Linked DNA regions of Anolis sagrei. The protein of the gene in region 1 binds, or shares a complex with, the protein of each later gene. Links are inferred from orthologs where the notes say so. Each region holds a gene or a part of one and is shown on either strand. Other genes may lie near its edges. The genes, in order: ITGA2B and ITGB3.

Evidence for each region.
Region 2: the proteins of ITGA2B (region 1) and ITGB3 are in contact, whole or in part, in a cryo-EM structure (PDB 8GCE), measured with the Homo sapiens proteins. The link is inferred for Anolis sagrei from reciprocal best matches to the Homo sapiens genes ITGA2B and ITGB3. Residues at the interface, in NP_000410.2 of Homo sapiens: Gln49, Phe52, Arg72, Trp141, His143, Asn145, Glu152, Ala153, Glu154, Lys155, Pro157, Arg184, Phe191, Tyr197, Glu199, Phe202, Pro217, Tyr221, Phe222, Phe262, Asp263, Tyr265, Tyr268, Thr290, Trp293, Thr294, Gln315, Met316, Ala317, Tyr319; in NP_000203.2 of Homo sapiens: Ser188, Pro189, Tyr190, Tyr192, Ile193, Ser194, Pro195, Pro196, Tyr204, Asp205, Met206, Arg242, Asp243, Pro245, Lys279, His281, Ile282, Ala283, Leu284, Asp285, Arg287, Leu288, Ala289, Gly290, Val292, Gln293, Pro294, Asn295, Asp314, Tyr315.

Annotation. Positions count from the first base shown.
Region 1 is NC_090026.1:47,949,689-47,957,753, reverse strand, and holds the start of ITGA2B (integrin alpha-IIb), read left to right. Parts: upstream 1-5,018; 5' UTR 5,019-5,163; intron 5,164-8,065. UniProt on the Homo sapiens protein: Integrin alpha-IIb/beta-3 is a receptor for fibronectin, fibrinogen, plasminogen, prothrombin, thrombospondin and vitronectin. It recognizes the sequence R-G-D in a wide array of ligands.
Region 2 is NC_090026.1:45,735,304-45,742,892, reverse strand, and holds the start of ITGB3 (integrin beta-3), read left to right. Parts: upstream 1-4,369; 5' UTR 4,370-4,579; coding exon 4,580-4,652; intron 4,653-7,589. UniProt on the Homo sapiens protein: Integrin alpha-V/beta-3 (ITGAV:ITGB3) is a receptor for cytotactin, fibronectin, laminin, matrix metalloproteinase-2, osteopontin, osteomodulin, prothrombin, thrombospondin, vitronectin and von Willebrand factor.

The DNA.
Region 1 (8,065 bases):
GTGCGTAATGAGTACCCTAAAAACAAAAAACCTACGGGGCCAAATGACCCCAAATTCGGCAACAAAACTCACAATCCAAGGAATGATCATCACTCAAAAAAAATCCCCACAAAGGGCAGAGGCTGAGGAGGGGAAGGGGAAGAAAAAGGGGGAAAGGAATAGTGTTCTGAAACGGCTGTTCCAGGGGCTGCAATTTTGTGTTTTGCACTGAGTGTTTGTTCATAGTCCTAAGTTGCAGGGACTTTGCTTCCTTTGGCTGCATTCATAGGGCAAGCCACCTGTCAATAATAGTTAAGATCCCTGGTCCCACCCCTCTGGGTTTTTTTGGAGGGAAGGGGCCATTTTTCAGGCAGTCACACACAAGGAAACCAGCCTATAGGACGCAAATCAGTTTGTTCCGTAGGAAAGGCTTCATTCCTCAAGACCATCCAGGGTCCAAACTGACTATCCAGTTCCAGAGAAACGGAAGGAAAAGGTCCCAAAGGCTCTGGCTGAGAGCTCACAGCCTCTCAGCCTCACAGCACCAGAGGGGAAAACAGACCTGAAGTTTCCACAGGACAGCACTGCAGAACCACAGAATTCCAGCTAAGCATCTTCTAGCTTCGTCTGGTAGGTTACTCGGTTTCCAGATGCATTTGGGGATCGGCTGTTTTACCCAGACCAGCGAGGCCTGGGTGATGGACGGCCTGGGAGAGATTACAAAGGATTCTTCCTCATGTTGAGATAGTATAGTTAAACCAAGTCAGTGCCAGTCTCTTAAAGACTAGTATAAGAAAGCCTTAAAGTGTTGTTTGAAGATTTGTTCCTTTCGTACCTTTAAAGAACTCTAAAGCCCATTACTTCTGGAAGTCTCTAACAATCTCTCTTTGGGCACCCCGGCTTCCCACTGGGTTTAAGGTATGTGTTCTATAGAATAAAGACATTTTGTTCGGACCCAGTGGCAACAGAATAAATAGGTACCACTCTTTCATAATAGTCCAGATACCTACCTCTATTTCAAAAAGTCTTACTATAGTCCACAACATCGCGTGGCAGGGCAAAGCTAGTTAAAGATAAAAGAAGTAAGTGACTGATATTGTTGTGGTTGCTTGTACAAGGCAAAACCAGATGCCAGGAAGAGCTAGATAACATTTCAGAACCACACTACTGTGATGGGCGAGAAAACACCAGAGGTAAAGGAGAAAATGAGTCCATGGGGCAAATATATTTCTATGGTTGTGCCATTTATTTCCATTCCTTCTGAGTTCCATTCTCTATCACTTGTGGTTGGCTTTGCGTCTGCTTTTTGATAAAGCCTTTGCAACCAGGAAAGGCGTGACAGTTGCACTAAACTGATAGAGGGTCTTTTGTGGGGCAGGAAATGGGGTGGTTCTTGCACATCCAGGAGAAGCAAAGCCTGCTCTTTATATTCATCCTGCCGTAGCCCTAAATCTATATAAATAAAAATGTAATGTTGGTTTGTGGGATTAACATAACTCATAAACCACTGGATGAATTGACATCAAATTCGGCCACAATAGACCAACCAAACCAATGTATGTTCTTCACTCAAAAAGACCAAAAATAATTAACTGGAACGAACTTTACAAACCCCAAAACCAAGAATACATTACAGCACCTATCATGTGACCCTGCCTGCATGCCCAACCGGCAAACAGGCAGGAAGGTGCCCACAGCCATGGCAAAAAGAAGAGGTGACGCTGGCCTGCCTCGAAAAGTGCCTGCCCCATGCCCAGCCCAGCAAGGCCGAGGGTTGCAAGACTCCCTTCCTGCCGGTGCCCATGCAAGAGGTAGAGAAGAGAAGGAAGAAAAGAGGGAGAGAAGAAAGGAGAGAAAGGACGGGAAAGAAAGCAGGAAAGAGAAAGAAAGATGGAAGCAAAGAGCAAAGGAAGGAAGGAAAAGGTAGAGAAGGAAGGAAGAAGAGAAAAGAAAAAAGGGAGGGAGGGAGGAAAGAGAAGGAAAGGCGAAAAGGAAGAAAAGGGAGAGAAGGAAGGAAGATGAGAGAAAGGGAGAGAAGGTTGGCCACAGAAATGTGTGGTGGGTAAATTCATTCACTCCAAGGTCATGTGGCTGGCATGACTGCATAGAGTGCCGTTAACTTCCCGCTGGAGCGTTACCTATTGATCTCACATTTGCATTTTTTTTAACTGCTAGGTTGGCAGAAGCTGGGGGTGACAGTGGAAGCTCATGCCGCTCCCCAGATTCGAACCTGTGACCTTTCAGTCAACAAGTTCATGAGCTCAGCGGTTTAAATGTGTTAGTAGGAAGCGTTTATTATAATAAAATTATTATTATACCTTTAAAAATTTACTTATACCTAAATGATCCATAATCCCAGATATGGCTTTCTCTAAACTCTGAGAAGAAACTTTAGTTTTCATAAATTGCAGGATTTGACCCAATCCTTCAAAAAGAGATTGCTGACTCAAGGCACAAAGTCTCCAGTGTTTAGGAACAGTTTAGGGACTGGCTTATTTTGAGACCTTACCACTGCCTTGTGTTGACGAAAAGAGCTGTCGCAGTACACCAAATTGATTATGTGTCCTTTTTATTTTATTGCTGTTTGCACAGAAACCCTTTTTTTTTTGTTCAATAAAAGTAACAAAGGTAAAAAGTAAATACAAAAAAACCCTTCCAACAGCAATTGAGATCTGGTAGTTTATTTTAAGGATATGAACAAGTATTTTTTATTTGCTTGACGGCAAGTCGATATTAAATATATTAATGATTTAAGAGGATCTTTCCAGTCAATGCCTTGTGTGCAAGTTTAGGAGACGAGGCATTCTTTCTAGAGGTGGTTCAGTTTGCTTCATATCCTATAAGAAATCTAGTTTAATCATTGTTTTGGACTGAAATATAAACGAGACTTTCACTGGTAATCGTGCTCCTTTAATGTGTAAGGACCATAAATGTACTATTGCACTTTGTTTATCCATAACATGGTTCACATCCATTCTCAGCAATATTTACGTAATTTGCACTCAGAAGACAGAATCTTGCCTTTCCTTGTAAACTTGGGCAATCTCTTCATCAACAACTTTTTCCATTTTCATCGCACTCTGATGCTCTGATGCTACCTGGTGACACATGTCCTGGTTTTCATCTGTGAGCATAGGCCTAAAAGCCCTAAAGCAAGGGTGGCCAAACTATGGGCCGCAGGCCAATTCCACCCACACCCAAATGTAATTTACCTGGCCTTGCTCTTAACCTTAGACTAACCCTGCCATTCACTCTTGCCCCTTCTAAAATGGAGGGAGGGAGGATGGGAGAAAAGAAAAAGTAAAAAAAGGGAAGTAGGAAAAGAGGGAAGATGGGAAGAATAAAAGGAAGACAAAGGGAGGTAGGAAATTGAAGGAAGAGAAGAAGGAGAAAAAAAGTAGGAAAAGGTAGGTAAGTAAAGGTTGTCCTCTGACATTTAAGTCCGGGGGTTGGTGCGCATCTCAGTTTCTAAGCCGAAGAGCTGGCATTGTCTGTAGACACCTCCAAGGTCATGTGGCCGGCATGACCGCATGGAGCACTGTTACCTTTCCACCAAAGCAGTACCTATTGATCTACTCACATTTGCATGTTTTCAAACTGCTAGGTTGGCAGAAGCTGGGGCTGACAGCGGAAGCTCACGCCACTCACTGGATTCGAACCTGCAACTTTTCAGTCACCAAGTTCAGCAGCTCGGCGGTTTAACCAACTGCAGCACCAAGGGCTCCAACATCTAGTATCTCGGCAAATACAGTCCTTAAAGTTGGAAAAATGACTAAATTGAGGTTGTCATATTTTGGCCATATCATGTGATGATTAAATTCTCAACAGGAAAGATGATAATGCTTTGTAAAGTGAAAAAAGTGGGGGAGAGGTGGTTGGTCAGATGTGTTCCAGTTTTATTTATTTATTTATTTATTTCGGGCACTTCTACCCCGCCCTTCTCAACCCCCTGGGGGGACTCAGGGCAGCTTACAACCGGCACAATTCGATGCCAACAATTCAACAGATAAAATACATAACAACAATAACCACAAGTTAAAACATTCAATTAATATAATAACAACTAAAAGCCAATCTAGTGGCTAACGTTCACCGAGTTCTAAAATCCATAAATCCATTCAGCATTACCATAGTCCTTTCCAAATTCTGGTCATCATTACCTTGTCAGTCTGCCTGATTAACCAAAGGCCTGGTCCCATATCCATGTTTTCAGCTTCCTTCTGAAGGAGAGGAGGGATGTTGATGACCTAATTTCCCCGGGGAGTGAGTTCCACAGGCGAGGGGCCACCACTGAGAAGGCCCTGTCCCTCGTCCCCACCAGCCTCACTTGTGGAGAGCAGGGCCTCCCCAGAAGATCTTAAGCTCTGAGGTGTGACATATAAGGAGATATGTTCGGACAGGTACGCTGGTCCGGAGCCGTACAGGGTTTTATAGGTCAAAACCAGCACTTTGAATTGTGCTCAGAACTGGATCGGCAGCCAGTGGAACTGACACAACAGAGGGGTGGTATGTTCCCTGTATGACGCTCCGGTGATTAATCTAGCTGCTGCCCTTTGGACTAAATTAAGTTTCCGAACAGTTTTCAAAGGCAATCCCACCTAGAGCGCGTTGCAGTAATCTATTCGGGATGTAACAAGAGCATGCACCACTGTGGCCAAATCAGACTTCCCAAGGTACAGGCACAACTGTGAAATGTTGGGAGGAAAAATAAAAGCTATTTTCTCGCCAAGATCAACTCTCGAACAGCTTTTAAACAACGTTTACATTGCTTAATCTTTTGTTCATGACAAGCCTTTCCTTGGTAGCTGGTGAATCAGTCCAAATGCATTTGAGATGGAAGAGACCAAAGGAGCGGATAGATGGTTGCGCAATTGGCTGATGGGAAAGACCAGAGGATGGGAAAGACTTTGGAAAGGAAGCACATTTTTCAGAAACATCATCTGAATCCACACCTACCAAATACGGTAATGATTCTTAGTGCTGCTAGAACACATAACACTCCTCTGTTTTTAAAGTGGAAGTGCTCCCTTTAGGATTAATATAACCCTAAAGGGAGTACTTTCACTTTACAAGCTGGAGCAAAAACACATTGAACTGTGCTTTCTAAGAAAGTCCTATATTTTTTTGCATTGCAATCAGCCTGGGTGGAATCGAGGTGGAATATTTGGAGGGCAAGACAGGTTGGTAAGTGGTTATGTAGGTCTGGCAGGTCTGCTTCCAGTTCAGTGTGAATGTGGAGAACTGAAAGTGTATATTTGACTGGAAAGTGGAGAACGTGGATACAAAGGATTCTAAACAGCAGTCAGATTTTAAAAATATGGATACTACTAACCTTCCTGCTTTGAATTTTACCTATCTCCCATTTCTGAATGTCTGAACTTTTCTGTTTGCTGGGTACTAGCTTGGGTACCCGGCATTGCATGGGTTACTTGAAAAAGTCATTTTTAAAAAATTGTACAAAATGAATAAGTTTGTGGGTGAACTATAATTCACATCATGCTAGATTAACCCAGAAAAACTCCATCATAAAGGTTGTTACATTAGGCAGGTTTGCTCTGGGTGCATCATCAGTGGGGTTCAGTGTGCTCTCTGGCTTTCGGATAAACTACAACTCCGACTATGGTGAATCAGCCCCTCAAACCCTCCCAGTAGGTTCTGTGTGCCAAGTTTGGTCCAGGTCCATCATCAGTGAAGCTCACAGTTTCTCTGGTTGTGGGTGAACTACAACTCCCAGAAAGGGAAGTCAGTTGCCCCCAAACCCCTCCAGTAATCAAATTTCAGCATATCAAGTATGTGTGCCAAGTCTGGTCCAGACTAAAATGATAAAGGGTCTGGAGAACAAGCCCTATGAGGAGCGGCTTAAAGAGCTGGGCATGTTTAGCCTGAAGAAGAGAAGGCTGAGAGGAGACATGATAGCCATGTAGAAATATGTGAGGGGAAGTCATAGGGAGGAGGGAGCGAACTTGTTTTCTGCTGCCCTGGAGACTAGGACACGGAACAATTGCTTCAAACTACAAGAAAGGAGATTCCATCTGAACATTAAGAAGAACTTCCTGACTTTGAGAGCTGTTCAGCAGTGGAACTCTCTGCCCCGGAGTGTGGTAGAGGCTCCTTCTTTGGAAACCTTTAAACAGAGGCTGGCTGGCCATCTGTCGGGGTGCTTTGAATGCAATTTCCCTGCTTCTTGGCAGAATGAGGTTGGACTGGATGGCCCATGAGGTCTCTTCTAACTCTATGATTCTATTATTCTATTCTAGATACATCGGTGTTTGGGTTCACAATACTCTCTGGATGTAGGTGAACTACAACTCCCCCAAATCAAGGTGAATTTTCCCCAGAGACCTCCAGTATTTTTTGTTGGTCATGGGGGCTCTGTTTGCCAAGTTAGTTCCAGGTCCATCATTGGTAAGAGTTCAGAGTGCTCTTAGATTGCAGGTGAATTATACATCCCAGTATCTTCAACCACTATAAATCATGGTGAATTCTCTCCAAACCTCTCCAGTATGTTCAATTGCTGATTAATTCCTTTGCTTGCAAGAAAATATTGCAAGAAAATACAGAAAATACTGGAAGGGTTTGGTGGGCAGTGTCCTTAGGTTTTGGAGCTGTAGTTCACCTACATCCAGAGATCACTGTGGACTCAAACAATGATGGATCTGGACCAAACTCTACACGAATACTCAATATACCCAAATGTGAACATTGGTGGAGTTTTGGGAAAATAGAATCTTGACATTTGGGAGTTGTAGTTGCTGGGATTTGTAGTTCACTTACAATCAAAGAGTATTCTGAACCCACCAATGATGGAATTGAACCAAACTTGGCACACAGAACTTCCATGACCAACAGAAAATACTGGAAGGATTTGGTGGGCAGTGTCCTTTGGTTTTGGAGTTGTAGTTCACCTATATCCAGAGAGCACGGTGCACTCAGTGATGGATATGGATCAAACTTGGCACAAATATTCAATATGCCCAAATATGAACACTGGTTGAGTTTGGGGAAGACCTTGACATTTGGGAATTGCAGTTGCTGGGATTTATAGTTCACCTACAATCACAGAGCATTCTGACCCCCACCAACAATAGAATTGGGTCACAGAGAACCCCCATGTGGGCCACAGTAACACAGTAAAAATAGCTCCTTTGAGTTCAGTATAGTTCCCATAATAATGTTAATGTATTTACAACACTTTGAGTATTTTATTTACAATTGAAAAATTGTCAAAATAAGTTAACAAAAGATACATATTGTTTATAGTTAATACCGTCATATGTTGTCCTTATGAAAACATAAGTTTGGTGCAGTTTTCCCATAAAATGTGTGTGTTTAGTGTGCATATAACTTTATTATATACTAGCTGTCCCCTGCCACGCGTTGCTGTGGCCCAGTCTGTTGATCTGGAAAATAAAGTAATGAGGAAGTGTTGGTTTCTAATATATGTAATTTCTTTATGCATGTGAGTAAACAGTTTTTCTTGCTGTTTCTTTGTCAGTGTTGTTGTGGAGAGTTTCTGGCTTGCCTACTCTGGAATATGCAACATATCATAGTCCTTCTTTAAGGGTCTCTTTCAAATCTGTGATACTATATATGTGTGTGAGAGAGAATCATATCTATCTATATTTATGGCAGGATGGCTCTTTGTCAGGAGGGCTCTGAATACATTTTCTTGCCCTCGTGAAGAAGAGAGTTGGACTGGATGGCCTTAAGTATTTTCTGTTGGTCATGGGGGTTCTGTGTGGGAAGTTTGCCCCATTTCTGTCGTTTGTGGGTTTCAGAATGCTCTTTAATTGTAGTGAACTACAAATCCCAGTAAGTACAAATCCCAAATGTCAAGGTGTATTTCCTCCGATTTCCATCTGTGTTCATATTTAGGCATACGGAATTTTTGTATCAAGTTTGGTCCAGATCCACCATTGTTTGAGTCCACAGTGCTCTCTGGATGTAGGTGAACTACAACTCCAAAACTCAAGGTCAATGCCCACCAAACCCTTCCAGTGTGTTTTGTTAGTCATGGAAGTCCTGTATGCCATGTTTGGTTCAATTCCATCATTGGTGGAGTTCAGAATGCTCTTTGATTGTAGGT
Region 2 (7,589 bases), about 2.2 Mb from region 1:
TGCTACTAAGGAGGCTGTTCAGGTACTGAACTGGTGCTTGGCCGCTTTGACGATCTGGATGAGGGCGAACAAATTGAAATTGAATCCAGACAAGACAGGGGCACTCCTGGTCAGTCGTAAGGCTGAACAGGGTATAGGGTTGCAGCCTGAGTTGGATGGGGTTACACTCCCCCTGAAGATGCAGGTTCGCAGCTTAGGTGTGATCCTGGACTCATTGGTGAGCCTGGAACCCCCAGGTTTTGGCAGTGACCAGGGGAGCATTTGCACAGTTAAAACTTGTGTGTCAGCTGTGCCCGGACCTTGGGAAGTCTGACTTGGCCACGGTAGTCCACGCTCTGGTTACATCCCGTATAACGTACTGCAACGCGCTCTACGCAGGGTTGCCTTTGAAGACTGTCCAGAAGCTTCAAATGGTCCAACGGATGGCAGCCAGATTACTAAAAGGAGCAACACTCAGGGAGCATACAACTCCTCTGTTGCACCAGCTCCACTAGCAGCCAGTTTGCTACCGGGTCTATAAAGTCCTAAACGGTTCTGGCCCAACTTACCAGGCGGAACGCATCATCCTTTATGAACCTGCTAGGAATTTAAGATCGTCCGAGGAGGCCCTGCTCCCGATCCTGCTTGCGTCACAAACACGTTTAGTGGGAATGAGAGACAGGGCCTTTTCAGTGGTGGCCCCTCGACTATGGAACGCTCTTCCTGGGGACATTCGATCGGCCCCCTCCCTCTTAACATTTCGGAAGAGAGTCAAGACTTGGTTGTTGGAGTAAGTGTTTGAAAATGCAAGGAAAAAGACATAGGAATTGGAACGACTGGACGACGAGATGGGACAATGTTTTTATTAGGAGATGCAAATGATCTTTGTTTTTAGTATTCTTGTTATGGTTTTATATTATGTGTTAATGTTTTAAAATGTTTTATGGTGTTTTGGGGCATCATATTGTTGCCATTGTAAACTGCCCTGAGTCGCCTGAGGGCTGAGAAGTGCGGTATACAAATACAGTAAATAATAATAATAATAATAATAATAATAATAATTCCCTGACAGATTTTGTATGCTGCTTCACAAAACTTTGCAACATTGTAAGTTGTAGCTGAATTAGTACCTATATGGCAATGTAGAAGGAGCTTTCAAGTCAGTTATCAACACGTGGCAAATCATTCATTTCCTTGGATTTTCTTAGGCAAAGAATATTCAGAGCTGGTCGCACCTACAGCCCCTGATTTTCCTTGGTGGTCTCCCTTCCAAGTGCCAACCAAATCTGAGTCTGCCTAGCTTCAAAGTCAGAGCATCCGATGCCTTCAGCATTTAGGCCTTGGGCATTGTATATCCCACCTATGTTCTCTGTATGGCTTGGATCTGAACACAAGGGGGCAGTAAAGGAGAAGCTGAAAACAAAACTTTCAGGTGTACATAACATATTAAAAGATGCAACTAATTACATAAGCAGCATATTCCCTTCTTCCCAATTATCAACGAATTCAGTTCCTTAATGTCTGGTGTTTTGGGTGATCTTTGTTCAATTACTTAAACTGCAGGCACCAAACCTTCTTCAATCAGTTATGTTTCTTTGATAAAAACTTTACAGTTGGACTCGTTTGCAAACTATGGATAATTTGGGGCTGATCCATCAAAGCTGGGTGGCTTATTACCTCCTTAGCATAATCTGTGTATGTTCTTGGAACCATAATAATAACAACAACAATAATAATATACTTTATTTATATTCCGCTCTGTATCCCCGAGGGGACTCAGAGCAGATTACAATATACACGGAAACAGTAATTATTATAGTAGATTGCCTGGGAGAAGTTAAAAAAGGGTTTTCCTTTCAAAAGAAAAGAAACAGTTGTCAAAGCCATTTGCCTGTTACTTGTGGACAAGATTAAGAAAGCTACCAGTCATTTGTATGATTGTCGTTGAAGACTGAAGAAGTATTTGTTTAATTTGTTCAACAATAAAGGACTTTGTTAAACCTTTCAAGCCTCTAAAGACTCTTCCAGAGGAAAATCCTTAGGGCCTCTCTATCAAGGCGCCCTGGCTTTCCGCTGGGCACAAAGTGCACGTCCTGTTCAAAAGACAATTATTACAGGCCCAGTGAGTGACAGCATTATTATTATTATTACTAGCTATCCCCTGCCACGCGTTGCTGTGGCCCAGTCTGGTGATCTGGAAAATGAAGTAATGAGAAAGTGTTGGTTTCTAATATATGTAATTTCTTTATGCTTGTGTTGATATAGAGATTGTCTAGTTGGCCTACTCTGGAGCATGCAAAATAGAATTGTCCTTGTTTAGTGGTCCCTTTCAAATCTATGATACTATATCTGTGTGTGTGTGTGTGTGTGTGAGTCATATATCTCTCTCTATATCTATGGCTGGGTGGTTCTTTGTCAGGAGGGCTTTGATTACATTTTCTTGCCCTGGTAAAGGGAGTTGGACTGAATGGCCTTAAGTATTTTCTGTTGGTCATGGGGGTTCCGTGTGGGAGGTTTGTCCCAATTCTGTCATTAGTGTGGTTCAGAACGCTCTTTGATTGTAGGTGAACTATAAATCCCAGTAACTACAACTCCCAAATGTCAAGGTCTTTTTTCCCCAAACTCCATCTGTATTTATATTTGGGCATATTGAGTATTTGTGCCAAGTTTGGTCCAGATCCAACATTCTTTGAGTCCACAGTGCTCTCTAGATGTAGGTGAACTACAATTCCAAAATTCAAGGTCAGTGCCCACCAAACCCTTTCAGTATTTTCTGGTGGTCATGGGAGTTCTGTGTGCCAAGTTTGGTTGAATTCCATCGTTGGTGGTGTTCAGAATGCTCTTTGATTATAGATGAACTATAAATCCCAACAACTACAACTCCCAAATGACAAAATCATAATTTTTGAGTGATGGTCATTCCTTGTGTAGTGAGACGTTTTGTTGCCAAATTTGGTGTGATTTCGTTCATTAGTTCTTTTGTTTTTAAGGTACTCATTATGCACTGAGCATTTTATATATAGAGATTATTATTATTATTATTATTATTATTATTATTATTATTATTATTAGAGGAGTTGGGAGGGAAAGCCACTCCATGTGTAATGCAGTTTGACATCACTTTAACCACCATGGCTCAATGCTGTGGAATTATGGAAGCTGTAGTTTTACAGAGTGTTCAGCCCTCTCTGCCAAAAGTGCTGGTGCCTCACCAAATTATATTCTGGGTTATATGGCAGTGTAGACTCATATAATCCAGCTCAAAGCAAATAATGTGGATAATCTCATCCGATAATCTAGATCAGTGTTTCTCAACCTGGGGGTCGGGACCCTTGGAGGGGTCGCGAGGGGGTATCAGAGGGGTCACCAAAGATCATGAGGAAACACAGTATTTTCTGTTGCTCATGAGGGTTACATGTGGGAAGTTTGGCCCAATTCTATCGTTGGGGGAGTTCAGAATGCTCTTTGATTGTAGGTGAACTATAAATCCCAGCAACTACAACTCCCAAATGTCAAGGTTTATTTTCCCCAAACTCCACCAGTGTTCACATATGGGCTAATTGAGTTTTCATGCCAAGTTTGGTCCAGATCCATAATTGTTTGAGTCCACAGTGCTCTCTGGATGTAACTGAACTACAACTCCAAAACTCAAGGTCAATGCACACCAAACCCTTCCACTATTTTCTGTTGGTATTTGGGAGTTCTGTGTACCAAGATTGGTTCAATTCCATTGTTGGTGGAGTTCATAATGCACTTTGACTGCCGGTGAACCATAAATCCCAGCAACTACAACTTCCAAATGACAAAATCAACCCCCCACCCCACCCTACCATTATTCAAATTTGGGCATATTGGGTATTTGTGCCAAATTTAGTCCAGAGAATGAAAATACATCCTGCATATCAGATACTTACATTACGATTCATAACAGTATTACAGTTATTAAAGTAGTAACGAAAATAATTTTATGGTTGGGGGTCACCACAACATGAGGAACGGTATTAAGGGGTCACAGCATTAGCAAGATTGAGAAACACTGATCTAGATTATATGGCAGTGTAGAAGGGGCCTCTAGCAGAGAAAGTGGGTGCCTCGCCAAACCACAAATCCCATCTTGCTGCATTGATAATCAAGATTATGTGGCAGTGTGGAGCCAGCCTGAGTTTGAACAAGGGAGACTCACTTCAGCCAAACACAGCACCTCCTTGTTCAGCAGAGAAGGCGGAAGAGAAGCCGCCTCTCCTTTTCTGTTTGTTTCCATGAACTTTGGAAAGAAAATGATAATATCTCAAACTGCATCTCAAACCCTGGCGAGAGGCGGGGGCTGTGGGAAAATGGGAAGAGGAGGGAGAGGTCTGGAAAGTGTCATAAAGGTCAGAAGGAGTCGGTCACTCCATCTCTCCTCCCCAACAAAGCAGTTCCTAAAGGAAAGAGGCGGATCCTGCTAAGCCTTGGTGACCTGAGCCAGGCAGAGAGGGAGGGAGAGTGGGGCGGGCACACAGCTGTTTCCCTGCTCTCTTTCAAGCATCTCTCAGGGACAGAGGCGCCCAGAAAAGTTTCTTCCAACTCTACCCCAGCAGCTCCTCTGAACAGGCAAAGCATGGGCACATTCTCCTCCTCTTCCACTCTCCTTGGAATGTGTAGCATGCTCTTCTTCACCTCCAAAGTCTGGGGTAAGTTGCACTTGAGACAAGGCTGATTATTGCATTTCTCATTTCTGTGTATGGCTGGGAAAGTTGGGATAGGGGAGAAGTTTGGGGTGACTCTCATCAAGAGTGTAGAATGAATGCAATTTGGTATCACTTTAACTGGAGTTTCATGCAGTTTGACAACACTTTTAACTGTCAAAGAAAGTTGGTGCCCCACCAAACGACAGATCCCAAATTGCTGGGATTTGTAGTTTTGGCGAGGCACCAGCCACCGTTGACAGAGATGTGCCACAGACCTTATTTAATTATTTACAACATTTATATGCCGCCCTTCTCACCCCAAAGGGGACTCAGAGCGGCTTACAAGATATATCAATATCTATATCTCTATCTCTATCTATCTATCTAAATAAATAAATAAAAATGTAATGTTCGTTTGTGGGATTAACAGAACTCAAAAACCACTGGACGAATTGACACCAAATTTGGACACAAGATACCTAACAACCCAATGTATGTCCTTCACTCAAAAAAACCTGATTTTGTCATTTGGGAATTGTAGTTGCTGGGATTTATAGTTCACCAACAATCAAAGAGCAATCTGAACCCCACCAACAATAGAATTGAACCAAACTTGGCACACAGAACACCCATGACCAACATAAAACACTAGAAGGGTTTGGTGGGCATTGACATTGAGTTTGGGAGATGTAGTTCACCTACATGCAGAGAGCCCTGTGGGCTCAAACCATGATGGATCTCGACCAAACTTGGCACGAATATTCCATATGCCCAAATATGAGCACAGATGGAGTTTGGGGAAAATAGACCTTGACATTTGGGACTTGTAGTTACTGGGATTTATAGTTCACCTACAATCACAGAGCATTCTGAACCCCACCAACGATAGAATTGGGCCAAACTTCCCACACAGAACCCCCATGTGGGCCACAGCAACGCATGGCAGGGGACGGCTAGTCTATATATATATATATATATATATATATGCAATATATTATATTATTAGCATAGTGCAATATTAGTATTAATAACGGCGTTCCATGCAGTCATACTGGCCACATGACCTTGGAGGTGTCTACGGACAACGCTGGCTCTTTGGCTTAGAAATAGAGATGAGCACTACACCCCTGAGTCGAACACAACTGGACTTAATGTCGGGGAAAACCTTTACCTATATTCTACTATACCATTATATTGTAATATTATTAGTAATATTACATGCAATATAAATATATAATTGTAATATCATATTATTAGGCAAAGGCAAAGGTTTTCCCCTGATATTACGTCCAGTTGTGTCCGACTCTAGGGTGTGGTGCTCATCTCCATTTCTAAGCCGAAGAGCCGGCATTGTCCATAGACACCTCCAAGGTCATGTGGGTGGCATGACTGCATGGAGCGCCGTTACCTTCCCACCGGCGCGGTGCCTATTGATCTACTCACATTTGCATGTTTTCGAACTGCTAGGTTGGCAGAAGTTGGGGCAGACAGCGGGAGCTTACGCCGCTCCCCGGAATCGAACCTGCAACCTTTCGGTCAACAAGCTCAGCAGCTCAGCACTTTAACCCTTTGCACCACCAGGGGCTCTTACAAGATACATATACATACAATATATTATATTATTAGCATAGTGCAATATCAGTATTAAATATTATATTGTACTATACCATTATATTGTAATATTATTAGTAATATAAATATATAATTATAATATCATATTATTAGGTAAAGGTAAAGGTTTTCCCTTGACACTAAGTCCATTCGTGTCCGACTCTAGGGTGTGGTGCTCATCTCCATTTCTAAACCGAAGAGCCAGCATTGTCCATAGACACCTCCAAGGTCATGTGGGTGGCATTACTGCATGGAGCGCCGTTACCTTTCCACCGGCGCGATACCTATTGATCTACTCACATTTGCATGTTTTCGAACTGCTAGGTTGGCAGAGGTTGGGGCTGACAGCAGGAGCTCATGCCGCTCCCCGGAATCGAACCTGCGACCTTTCGGTCAACAAGCTCAGCAGCTCAGCACTTTAACCCTTTGCACCACCAGGGGCTCTTACAAGATACATATACATACAATATATTATATTATTAGCATAGTGCAATATCAGTATTAAATATTACTATATTGTACTATACCATTATATTGTAATATTATTAGTAATATTACACGCAATATAAATATATAATTGTAATATCATATTATTAGGCAAAGGTAAAGGTTTTCCCCTGATATTACGTCCAGTTGTGTCCGACTCTAGGGTGTGGTGTTCATCTCCATTTCTAAGCCGAAGAGCCAGCATTGTCCATAGACACCTCCAAGGTCATGTGGGTGGCATGACTGCATGGAGCGCTGTTACCTTCCCACCGGCGCGGTGCCTATTGATCTACTCACATTTGCATGTTTTCGAACTGCTAGGTTGGCAGAAGCTGGGGCTGACAGTGGGAGCTCACGCCACTCCCCGGATTCGAACCTGCGACCTTTTGGTCAACAAACTCAGCCACTCAGCTGTTTAATCCACTAGGGGCTCCTAATAATTATATTATTAGTAGTGTCATATTGCATTACATTATATATATATATATAACAACATTTAAAAATATTTCTTTTCATTGAAAATATTACCAATAGGTTCTTGTGGGTTTTTTCGGGCTATAGGGCCATGTTCTAGAGGCATTTCTCCTGATGTTTCGCCTGCATCTATGGCAAGCATCCTCAGAGGTGGTGAGGTCACCACCTCTGAGGATGCTTGCCATAGATGCAGGCGAAACGTCAGGAGAAATGCCTCTAGAACATGGCCCTATAGCCCGAAAAAACCCACAAGAACCTAGTGATTCCAGCCATGAAAGCCTTCGACAATATTACCAATATTTTGTATTTAGAATATTTGTATTTCATTATTCAGACAGAGGCCAAAGGGGGCGCTAAAGAGAGAAAGAT